Linked DNA regions of Drosophila melanogaster. The protein of the gene in region 1 interacts with the protein of each later gene in a biochemical or structural test. Each region holds a gene or a part of one and is shown on either strand. Other genes may lie near its edges.

Evidence for each region. The genes of interacting proteins can lie anywhere in the genome.
Region 2: of the proteins of Diap2 (region 1) and HtrA2, one has a biochemical effect on the other in vitro, tested with the Drosophila melanogaster proteins (one study listed by BioGRID).

The regions. Positions count from the first base shown.
Region 1 is NT_033778.4:15,931,651-15,936,773, forward strand, and holds Diap2 (Death-associated inhibitor of apoptosis 2), read right to left. Parts: upstream 3,176-5,123; 5' UTR 3,148-3,175; intron 3,068-3,147; exon of another isoform or gene 2,931-3,067; 5' UTR 2,921-2,930; coding exon 2,549-2,920; intron 2,170-2,548; coding exon 1,134-2,169; intron 1,071-1,133; coding exon 982-1,070; 3' UTR 520-981; downstream 1-519. Other genes in the region: bug (bunker gear), read left to right, coding at 3,246-3,273, 3,331-4,190; Mlf (Myelodysplasia/myeloid leukemia factor), read right to left, coding at 4,810-4,930.
Region 2 is NT_033777.3:14,508,548-14,513,722, forward strand, and holds HtrA2 (HTRA2-related serine protease), read right to left. Parts: upstream 3,166-5,175; 5' UTR 2,860-3,165; coding exon 2,272-2,859; intron 2,204-2,271; coding exon 1,689-2,203; intron 1,605-1,688; coding exon 1,439-1,604; 3' UTR 502-1,438; downstream 1-501. Other genes in the region: mRpL11 (mitochondrial ribosomal protein L11), read left to right, coding at 3,377-3,511, 3,572-3,856, 3,917-4,087; CG8461 (uncharacterized protein), read right to left, coding at 4,150-4,280, 4,336-4,873, 4,935-5,000.

The sequences.
Region 1 (5,123 bases):
CACACTCCGTAAAATGCAGCAGCAACACCAGACACACACACACACACTTGAACTCTTCCTTTGAAATACTCGCAGAATATACTCACACGAGCGCGCGTTTGGTAATTTCGATTTCACACATAAAATTCCCCGTAGCTTCGGTTCGGTTCTTCTAAATTTTGTTCACTATCTTCTGCACTTCTTGGCGTTGGAGCTTGTTAGTTTTTCGCGACCAGAACTCAATGGAGCTCCCTTACGAGCAGCGCACACGACTTCACGCGGAGAGCTGAAAACGATTGCTTGGATACCAATATTTTGGTACTTTTGAGTAGAGCCGTCAAAACATCGATGCTACTATCGATAGTATCGAACCGTGCATGGCGATGATATCGAGATAGTTGTGAGCAGTGGAATCAGACTGTTGCAAGCTAATAGGCTAATCTCTCGGGGCACATCACTTGAAGACCGTTGGGATTTAAAACTTAGCAAAATAAATAAATTATTTTAAAGAATTTTTGCAATTGAAAAGACAAATTTTTTAACATTTACATATACATTTATTGGAGAATGCATATAGTTGTGTGTAAACCATACTATCAGCGGCCTATAAACATGATCAACAAAAATACATACATGTGTTAATAAGAGTACTATAACAAGAAATCCATGTGATCTGCGGTCGTGCCGGTGCATTGATACCCTTTTCAGCGCGAATTAGAGCTGCTCATCTATATAAGGTCATTTCAGCGTGCATAATGTATGGTTCAAAAGGGATGCGCTCGGACACAATGCGATAGTTAGTAACGACAACTTACAACCGTAGCTAATGTAAAAACGAATAGCTGCAGTTGGCCAAGTACTTAGTAGACGATTAGTAGACGATTATATTAGCTAATCACCGGATAATTTGAACTTCGCTGTAGTAGTTTGTGTGGGTGCAATCAATCGATTTGCTTAACTGCTAACTAGGCTGGTGAACTCTAAATGATGTCGATATGCACTTCACGAAAGGAACGTGCGCACGAATCCCTTGATGTCTGCGCGGCACATGGGACAATTGGCTACACTGGGGGCGCACTGATTGCAGGTGGCTGTCGGGTTAACAGGAAGTTAGCTACAGCTCAAGGCAATCAAGGTATAGTTCAGCGACTTACCCAAGTGGCCACAGGGCAGGAACACTACGCCAACCTCCTCGTCCAAGCATACCTTGCATAAGCGTGCATCCTTTAGCTGGCGGTTTTCCTCCTCCAGCGATAGGTTTCCGTTCGGCGTGGCCACCGACATCTTTTGTATTTCGTCTGTGATTTTCGATATATTCGCCACTGCTTCAGCTGCCTGTGGTTTGGCTGGGATGGAATCGGCCACCGGTATTGGCACAGATGCTGCCTTGCTGGTGGTGGCCTGACATGGTTCAATAAAAGGAGCACTTGGCTCCGGCGGCTCGCGCACCTCCAGTGCAGCTCCTGCGCCCGCATCGTCAAAGATGTCATGCAATAGTTCGTCCAACGTAGAGAAAGCGCAGCCGGAACTCAAGAGCTTGCGCTGGATGGCATTGCGCACAACTCCTCCATCGATACCCAAGGCTAGGGCCTCCTTGGCCGGAGCTTCATCCATCAGTACGTCTGCTTGGAGCGTTGGAGCCGGAGCAGTTGCTGGCTGGGAACTGGCGTTGGCAGCTGTTGTCGCGAGCACTTCGCTTACATAGGCTGGACCCTTGGCCAGCAAAACGAACTGACACTTTGGCGACCACTTGGCGTGTTCGAACCACGGCTCGTCCTCCTTCTGCCAGGAGCGCAATCCAATGTTGCAGTGGAAACAGCGCACCTGGTCGCCTATTTTCTGATAATATAGGCCAGCCTGCGCCAAAGCCGAAGCGGGCTGAATATTGGAAATGGGCCAATCGGTGAAGGTTCTCAATCTGGCGTCCACGCAGGCGTACTTGGGACGCAGTGGCAGAGTGGTGGGCTGGATGCCCAGCTCATCCAGGTTCTTCCCGGTGGCAAACTCTATAAGGGGGCCCATTTGCACACGAGGACATTGGGGAAAAAAGCGCTTGTGCTCTTCAAAGGCATTGTCGTTCTTCTCCCACTTGGCAATCACTCCGTTGCACCAAACACACTTCACGTGATCCAGACGGTTCAGGTAGTAGAAACCTGCCTTTGCCAGAGCCTGCGGCGTGATGTTGGGATTCTACAAAGGAAGACGTTTTGGGCTAAAGTTAAACTATCTTATTCAGTCATTAAAAATATTTGAAATTATACAGTATACAATAACTTCATTTGAAGTTCATAATGATTTTTGTATATCTTAATTAAAGCTTAATTTCGTAGGATTATCAATCAACATTCAGCTGAATTGAGGCAGCTAACAAGACATTTCTTGTTTGTATACAAAAATATCATTGATACTTTCGACCGGGATTTTCCTGGCCTCATTTACGCTACTTTTTAACTACGCAATCATACTTACATATGCACTTATAGTGAGCTTGAAACTGAAACTATAGTGATTACAATGACCCGCTATGGTGAATCACCAGAAGCGAGCGACACCAGCTCAGGGTACTCACCGGCCAGTCCTTGAAAGTTACCAAGCGATTGGCCTCCAACAAGAGATCGGGACAAGAGCAGGACTCCGGGCTGTCCACTACGCTGTTTCCCTCGTTGTCGCTCTCCTGGCTCCTGGGAACATTGCCGCAGTGATTGGGAGCCAGAACCATGGAGCAGATGGGCGAGGAGCGGCGATGGCGCTCCGCCACTTGATCGCCGTATTCCCAGCGGTCGATGCGCACGTGGCAGAAATGGCACTCGGCCTCCAGCCAGTTTCCCGTGGCAAAGAAACCATTGGCGACCAGATCCTCCGCGGAAACTGGGGCATTCAGGGGCCATTCCCCAAATGTCGCCAGGCGAACGCTCTCCAGCTCCATGCCCAGCTCCGTCATCGTGGCGCTTCTAAATTGGATCCGAATGGATCCACCAATGATGTAATGCCACCAAGGGAATCACCAGCGAGCGCAGACGAAAATGAAAATAAGGTAAGGTAAAAATATAAACTTATTGTAGCGATGTAAAAATAAGCATCGATGTTTTTCGATACATCGTCAATGTTTCATCGATGAAATACCAACTTAATGGGCACTGCTTACAAAAACAAGGTCAAGCAGTTTACCTTGCTATTCGGTATATCCAAACCTAAGAAGTTTCCAGGTATTTCACGAGTGCCATATAACAGCCAACTATTTCAACAGCTGTCCAACCAACGATATAATGAACCAAAATCTCTTGTTTGTATTTTGTACGTTATTTATTTATATCGAGTTCTTCAATCAGTAACATTATACCACTTCCACAGTGCTCTGCGCCGCGCAGGGCCAGGCGGAACTCTCCGGATTACTAAGTGCCCTCCAGTATTTCGGGCTCTTCTCAAATTTGACGGTGTATTCCCTGGGAGTTTCGCGGGGCCAGTGCCATTATAGCTTCGAAACCTTGCTGAAGGAGCGACACACATGTGCCCCGGATGACGAGCACATCATGCACCTAAACCAGCTGCCTCCGGTTCGAAAGCCACCTATTATGATGAAGTGCCTGCAGCGGGATATCGAGAATGAGACAGCATCCGAGCCGGAACTGCTGATAATGCGCAGTGCCAAGGATATAGTGAATCTGCTTAAGCCCATGGGCAATGCCACCAAGCGCCACGAGCCGGGCAACTGTGTACTTGTCCATTTCTGCACCGCATCCAGCTTGGAGTGCGCTCGTGTGGCTTCGATGGTCAACGTGCTGCCCCATTACTTTCCCACGCTACCCATCGCCTATGTGGATGCCTATGAGTTTGGTCGTTTCAATGCAGAATTCGGCATCGTTTCGCTGCCCACACTGATGCTATTCCACCAGGGCAGGCCGCTAATCAAATTCGAGCCCGGGTGGAAGGACACAAAGAGCAGCTTTGCCAGTTTCATAATGAGTCACACCAATATGAAGACTGTGAATCCGCAGGCCATTGATCCGATCATCCTCACTCGCGCAGAGATGGAGCCGCTGTCTAATAAACCCATTGTGCAGACGGATTACTATTTGGGCCTGGCTTGGGCCTTTATTCTCGTCTGCCTTGCCAACTTCCTGCGTAAGACGGCGCTCTGGAAGCAGCTGGTAGAGATGGTGCAGCGCATTTGGCGGGAATCCGAGGAGACGCAAATGGAGATGGTGGACTAGTTAGTTAATACGTTTAATTCTCTATAAGTCGCATAAGTAGAACACTGGATTTACTATTATAATGTAATTACCATTTAATTAAATTCACGTTAACATTTACTTAGGCCTTACGAATTACATGTATTTGGGGAATTGGTAATTGTTGTTTTCTATCGTTCGGAGCCTTCAAATCAATTGTGTTCATTTGCACGCTAACTGGCATCCATAATTTAAAGCTTAGTGGCTAACAAAATCTAAAAACTTGAGAATTAATCAAATAATTCAAACTTATAATTACGATTTCATATATATTCCATTACTTTCATTGAATTTTTCGATTAGGTCTGAGAGTGTGTGTTGTAATGATTTCGGCGTTGAATAGTCACATTTGTTTTAAGTAAATTTAAGCAAGTTGTTCTGTATCCTGCGTGCACATCAATAGCATCTTGAAGTTGTACATTTTTTAGTGTTGCATTCTGGTCGACTCACGCAGGATAAGACAGAACTGGTAAAGAATTGTGTTTGTTAAAAAATATTTGAATTGGTTTTCCTGCTATGGAACAGAACCCAACGCTTTGCTTCCTAGTGTTTTTGAGTGTGCGATGCGGAAGATGTTGGCATACAGATGATCACGTTTCTACTACTTCTTCTTGCCGCGCTTGACCGCCTTGTAGGAGCTGGCCGCTTCGTCCTCCGTGTGAAAATGTTTTACGGCACGTTGTTGGCGCCTCGGATTGGCGGCATAGGGATGTGGATGTATGCTGCTGGCGGAGCAGAAACAAATGTTCATTAATTAACAGAAACGATTAATTAGAATAAGGCACAATACAAAACAAAAGGTATACATAATAATCATTCGTACACAGGCCAATTCGAACGCAAGTGAAAATTTATTAACAGGAAGAGAAGGTCAAAGGGAGCATTAATGGATGATGTGGGCAAGCGAGTGATGGA
Region 2 (5,175 bases), on another chromosome or scaffold:
CTGAAATGGCAGAAAGAAAGTGCAAAAAGCGTGGGGCGCCAGTGAATGAAGTAAAAAGTGTTTACACGATCGCAAAAGCGAGGTCCGTTTGCTTAACCCCTTGCCGAGTGAATATTGGCAAATTTATGAACTTTAAGCTGCATTTATGCGTGCGGCTTATAAGCAATAAAGGTAACTTAGTGCCAACAATGTCATAAAGGCCGCTGTCACATAAACAACAACGGCAATGCCAGCAACAATGGTCAGTCCGGCGGAATCAATATATGAATTTATATGCAAAAGCCAAAAAAGCGTAGCATCGCCAAAAGCGAAAACAAAATTAATAATCACAAGAATTTCACTTTTCACGCAACGACAGCAACAGCAACAGCAGCAGCAGCAGCGGCAACAACATCATCATTGGCAACGTCTGCCTTGTCACCCACAAATAAACCGAAGCCAAACCAATCTGAGCTCAGCTATGTGAGGTTTGAATACCCTTTTTTTTAAATGTGTACAAAGATTGTTTCGGATACAAATTCCATTTAATGCATTTCAACTATTAGGTCATATTTTAGGTTTGTTTTGTTTATGCACATAACATGTAGATTTGAGAAGACTCATTTCAATTACACATTCATGTTTGTTTCGATGAAATAGGGTTAACATCATAAACTACGACTGAATATTTTTGTCTGAATATGCAATGTGATTCAACTAGACAATACATTTTAAAGGTTCAGTTTCATAAAATAATTATTAATAATAATTTGCAATAAGTTCGCTATTCGACCATTGAACTTCTCAGCACCCAAAAAATAGAATTTTTCATTTTGTAAAATATACCTAACGTACCCCTATCGAGGGTATTGAACAGCTGGCCAAGTGAAGCGCTGGGAATACAGTTGCATAAATTTATTGAAATTTGCATTTCGCTTTTCGACGTTTTTTGCGTCTGATGTTGCTGCTGCATTTTTTGCACTGCCGAGGTTTGGCCTATAAAAAATATGGCATCGATTGATCGCAACGCAAGATATTTCAATTAGCGTAAATATATTTTTGTCGTTGTTGGAAGAGGACAAACGGACGGACGGACGGACGGACGGTCAGACAGACGGATGGTAGGGGACACGCACAGCGCTCCATGAAAGAGAAATCGATGATGTTCGGAAACGGACAGACGACCCAATCGACCCAGTCGGAGATACATTTTCGTGCCGTCCGATGCGTAGATTAACTTATGGTCGTGCCGCTGTTAATAATGGCCACTGATAACGAGCCCGCGATCTATGCAAATTTCCCTACTCGTTAGCCAGAGACAAATATAGGCAGGCGCACCCGATTAGGAATAGGAGCGTGTGGGGGGTGGGTTTGTCAGCGATTTCTTCCCAGGATCGGTAGGTTTTGTTTAGATATATAAATATATACAATTGGGTACAGGTGCTGCATACAGGTTAAACTAGGGATCTTCTGGCGTAATGGTCACGTGCATCTGCTTCACACCTCGCAGGATCACTATATCTAGAGTTTTACTATTATCCGCCAGGGCATCGTAGACATCCGATGAGTTCTTGATCTCCTTCTTGTTTATGTGGGTCACTATGTCTCCGGGTTGGAGTCCACCACTAAAAAGGAGGTAGAGCAAAAAAGCACGTTGTAATGGAAAATGCTGGTTGATTGATAGGTTAACCACTTAGGTATTGACCCACCTGTGCGCCGGTGACCCAACGATAACCTTCCACACGAGCACGCCGTGCGTTAAGTTGCTGGGCATGTTTTGGCTTCGTGACTTGAGCTCGAACAGAATATCCGGTGTGAGCGTCAGCATGGTGATGCCCATGTACCGCTTCACCGGATAGCCAGTCTTGTAGGCCGAGCCCTTCTTTCGTTTCTCGGCCGCCCGCTCCAGAAACACCTTTACATAGTCAATGGGTATTGCGAAGCTAATGCCAGCCGTCACCTTCATCGAGTTAACTCCAATAGCCTCGCCATCCAGATTGACCAAGGGACCGCCGGAGTTGCCAAACGTAATCGCAGCATCCGTTTGCAGGTAGTTGATATCCCTGTTTCGAAGGCCAAGTTCTTGAGATGCACGCTGCGTTGAACTGATTACGCCTGCTGTCACCGTATTGCTTAGGGCCAGCGGACTGCCTAAGGCCACAACCCACTCGCCGGATCGCAGGGTACTGCTCTTGCCTAGCCGCATCACCGAAAGATTGTTCACCTGTAAGATTGGATTTAAAGATATGCATATAGAACTTGCGCTGCTTAGAAATTCAACTGTACGCTTACCTGTATGCGCAAAGTCGCCAGATCGGATGTCTGATCCACGTCCTCGATGGTGGCGGGAAAAGTCCTGCCATCGGATAGCCTCACCTGTACCATTGTGTGTGGTTTGTTGATCACCACATGGGCGTTGGTAAGGATGAGACCGTTCTGCTCAATAATGAAGCCGGAACCATTCGATGCCGTAATCGGTTGGCCGCTGAAGTAGTCAAAGTGGCGGGTGTCCTTAATCTCAATGTAGACCACCGAATCCGCACAACCTGCCACCACATCAGCTATAAAGTTGAAGTCCCGCCGACGACCGGTCATTTTGGAAGCGGCGATCGTTGGCGTTAAGTCTTCCCGCTGTATGATCGCCGCACTGACCACAGCGCCCAGGGAGAAGGGCACAAAGAATCGAACCAATCGTCTCCAGCCTTTTTCTTTTTGTTCACCATTTTGCTGATATTGCCCACTGTTACCATTGCTGTTTGGATCGCCTTCTTTGATCGCTAGTTGACTGCTCCTCCGATTGGCTGCATGACTGTGTAACACCGGGGAGGCAATGCAGCGTTTGAAGATCACTTCCAAGCGGTGGGAACCGCGCAAAGCCATGGGTTTATGTGATTACACGGCGTTTGTTATTGTTATTTAATTTATCACTTCTCAGCTGGCAGCTGATTTCAATTTGGCACTCTGCCACAAAAGCTGCCTGCTGCGACACCCTCGACTACCGATAGGCGATAGGCAATGCAAACAGCTGTTGGCCGCGATGCTTCTTCTTCGCATCAGGGGTGGCTAATCGTCTGCTTATCACGGGAATTTGGCTATTGTACATTTAGCTATAATTCAAAGGGCTTTTAAAATTTTAGCTGCTTTCATAGTATTGTATATAGTATTTTTAAAAGCCTGCTATTGTGCAAATGACATTTGGATCTTTTAAACCATCATCTCATGTTTAATGTTGCTAAAGACCACATTCGGAAGTATGTTTTTAGCTATTCAGCTATACGTTCCAACTAGAAACGACAGCAATACCATCAGCTGTTGCTGCTTCTTCTTCCTTCCACCAACACATTTCGCTTTGCATAACAGTTTGAATCAATTGTTTAGTTAAAATAAATCAATTAAAATGTCGAAGGCAGCGGGTAAGCTGAAATCGCTAAAGAAGACGGTGGAACGTGTGACGCACACGAGCAAACTGAAGACGAATATACCTGCGGGAATGGCTGCTGCAGGTCCGCCATTGGGACCGATGTTGGGACAGGTGAGTTAGCCGGCTTTAAAACTAAAATATGTATATAATTTTGTTTTTAACCACACACAGAGAGCGATTAATATCGCCGCTTTCTGCAAGGACTTTAATGCCAAGACCGCGGAAATGAAAGAGGGCGTACCGCTGCCGTGCAGAATTTCCGTAAACAGCGATCGCAGCTACGACTTGGCCATCCACCATCCGCCGGCCACATTTTTCCTGAAGCAAGCGGCGGGCATACAAAGGGGCACCATGACTCCTGGCAAGGAGGTTGCCGGCATGATCACTCTCAAGCATTTGTACGAGATTGCAGCTATTAAGATTCAGGACCCGCCCAATGTACTTCTTACCATGCAGGTCGGTATTCCGAAAAGTTTGAGATATAACTTCGACTCAAGTTTATGCCTTGTCTCTTAGCAAATGTGTGAGATGCTCATCAGCATTGCTCGGACCTGTGGCATCAAAGTGGTCAGGGAAATAGATCCGGCGGCCTATGGCGAGTTCCTGGAGGAGCGCAAGTTAATTGTGGAACAGCAACGGCGCGAGTTGCAGGAGAAGCGGGAAGCAAAGATGTTGCGCACGGGCTAGATTTGCTTATTTGCACTGTGCTTTTAATTGTTTAAAATACATTTATACTTAAAGCGTAAGTCTTATTCTATACCAATGCGTTTGCGGTCCTTGGCGGCGTTCTTCTTGCGTCGCTTTTCCATGTGCTTGTTGAGTTTTCCAGTGTTTTTCAGCTTCTCGAATTGGGCAACTAGTTCCTTAGCTCGACGCTCCTCTGTCGGAAAAAAAAACAAATTAAAATTTGATTTCGCTGTCGATCAGAAACGTACTCTTTGTCAGATAATGAGGTTGTTGTCCCAAATCGTGTTTCTTCTGAATGGCGGAGCGCTCCTTTTTCAGTTGCTTCTGTTTGGTGTGCCACTTCTTGTCCTCCACATTTTTATTGATAAGTCGCTGCATGGTGTCCTTTATATGGTGCTTCTCCGCCTCATCCTCCACTTCGTCCAGTTTTTTCTTCAGCTGACCAACTTCCTTTGCTCGAATCTGGGAGACAAACTGGTAGTTCTTCTTGAAGGTTTCTGCACTATATGTTCCGGATTTTTCGTCAAATCTTGGATCTCTGAGTTCAACATTTTTTTTCCGCTCCACTCTGTGCTCGGCGCCCAAAAATGGAACCTGTCGTCTGGTGGTCATTTCACGAGGTCGGTTTTTGTTTAGCCGCTTGAGGTCGGTTTTGGCCTTTGGTTTTTGGGGTCTAGAACTCTTGCTACCGAGCACAGCCTCTTTGTACACCTTGGCGCCCAGCTCCTCTTTTAGTTTCATTATCTCCTCGAATGACATTCCTTTGAGATCTTCGCGAATGGCATTCTAAAACGAAGTTCTCGCATATGTAGTAAACCATATTTCTGTATAGTTGTATTACTTGTACCTGAGTTTCGTTGTCATCGCTAGCCTCGTGCTCAGAAGCTGAAGAGGATTCACTGGGAGAGGACATTTTTGTTTTAGTTTTCGTTTAAAATTTTATTTATTTACTTTTTAAGAAATTCACGTGTGATTGTTTGGGTTATAAACAGCTGACTGCTGGGCTCGATAACGATACGTTACGATAAGCGCTGCGATACACGTTAGCCAACACTGAACTTAGTTAACCGCTTTATTTGAATTTATAG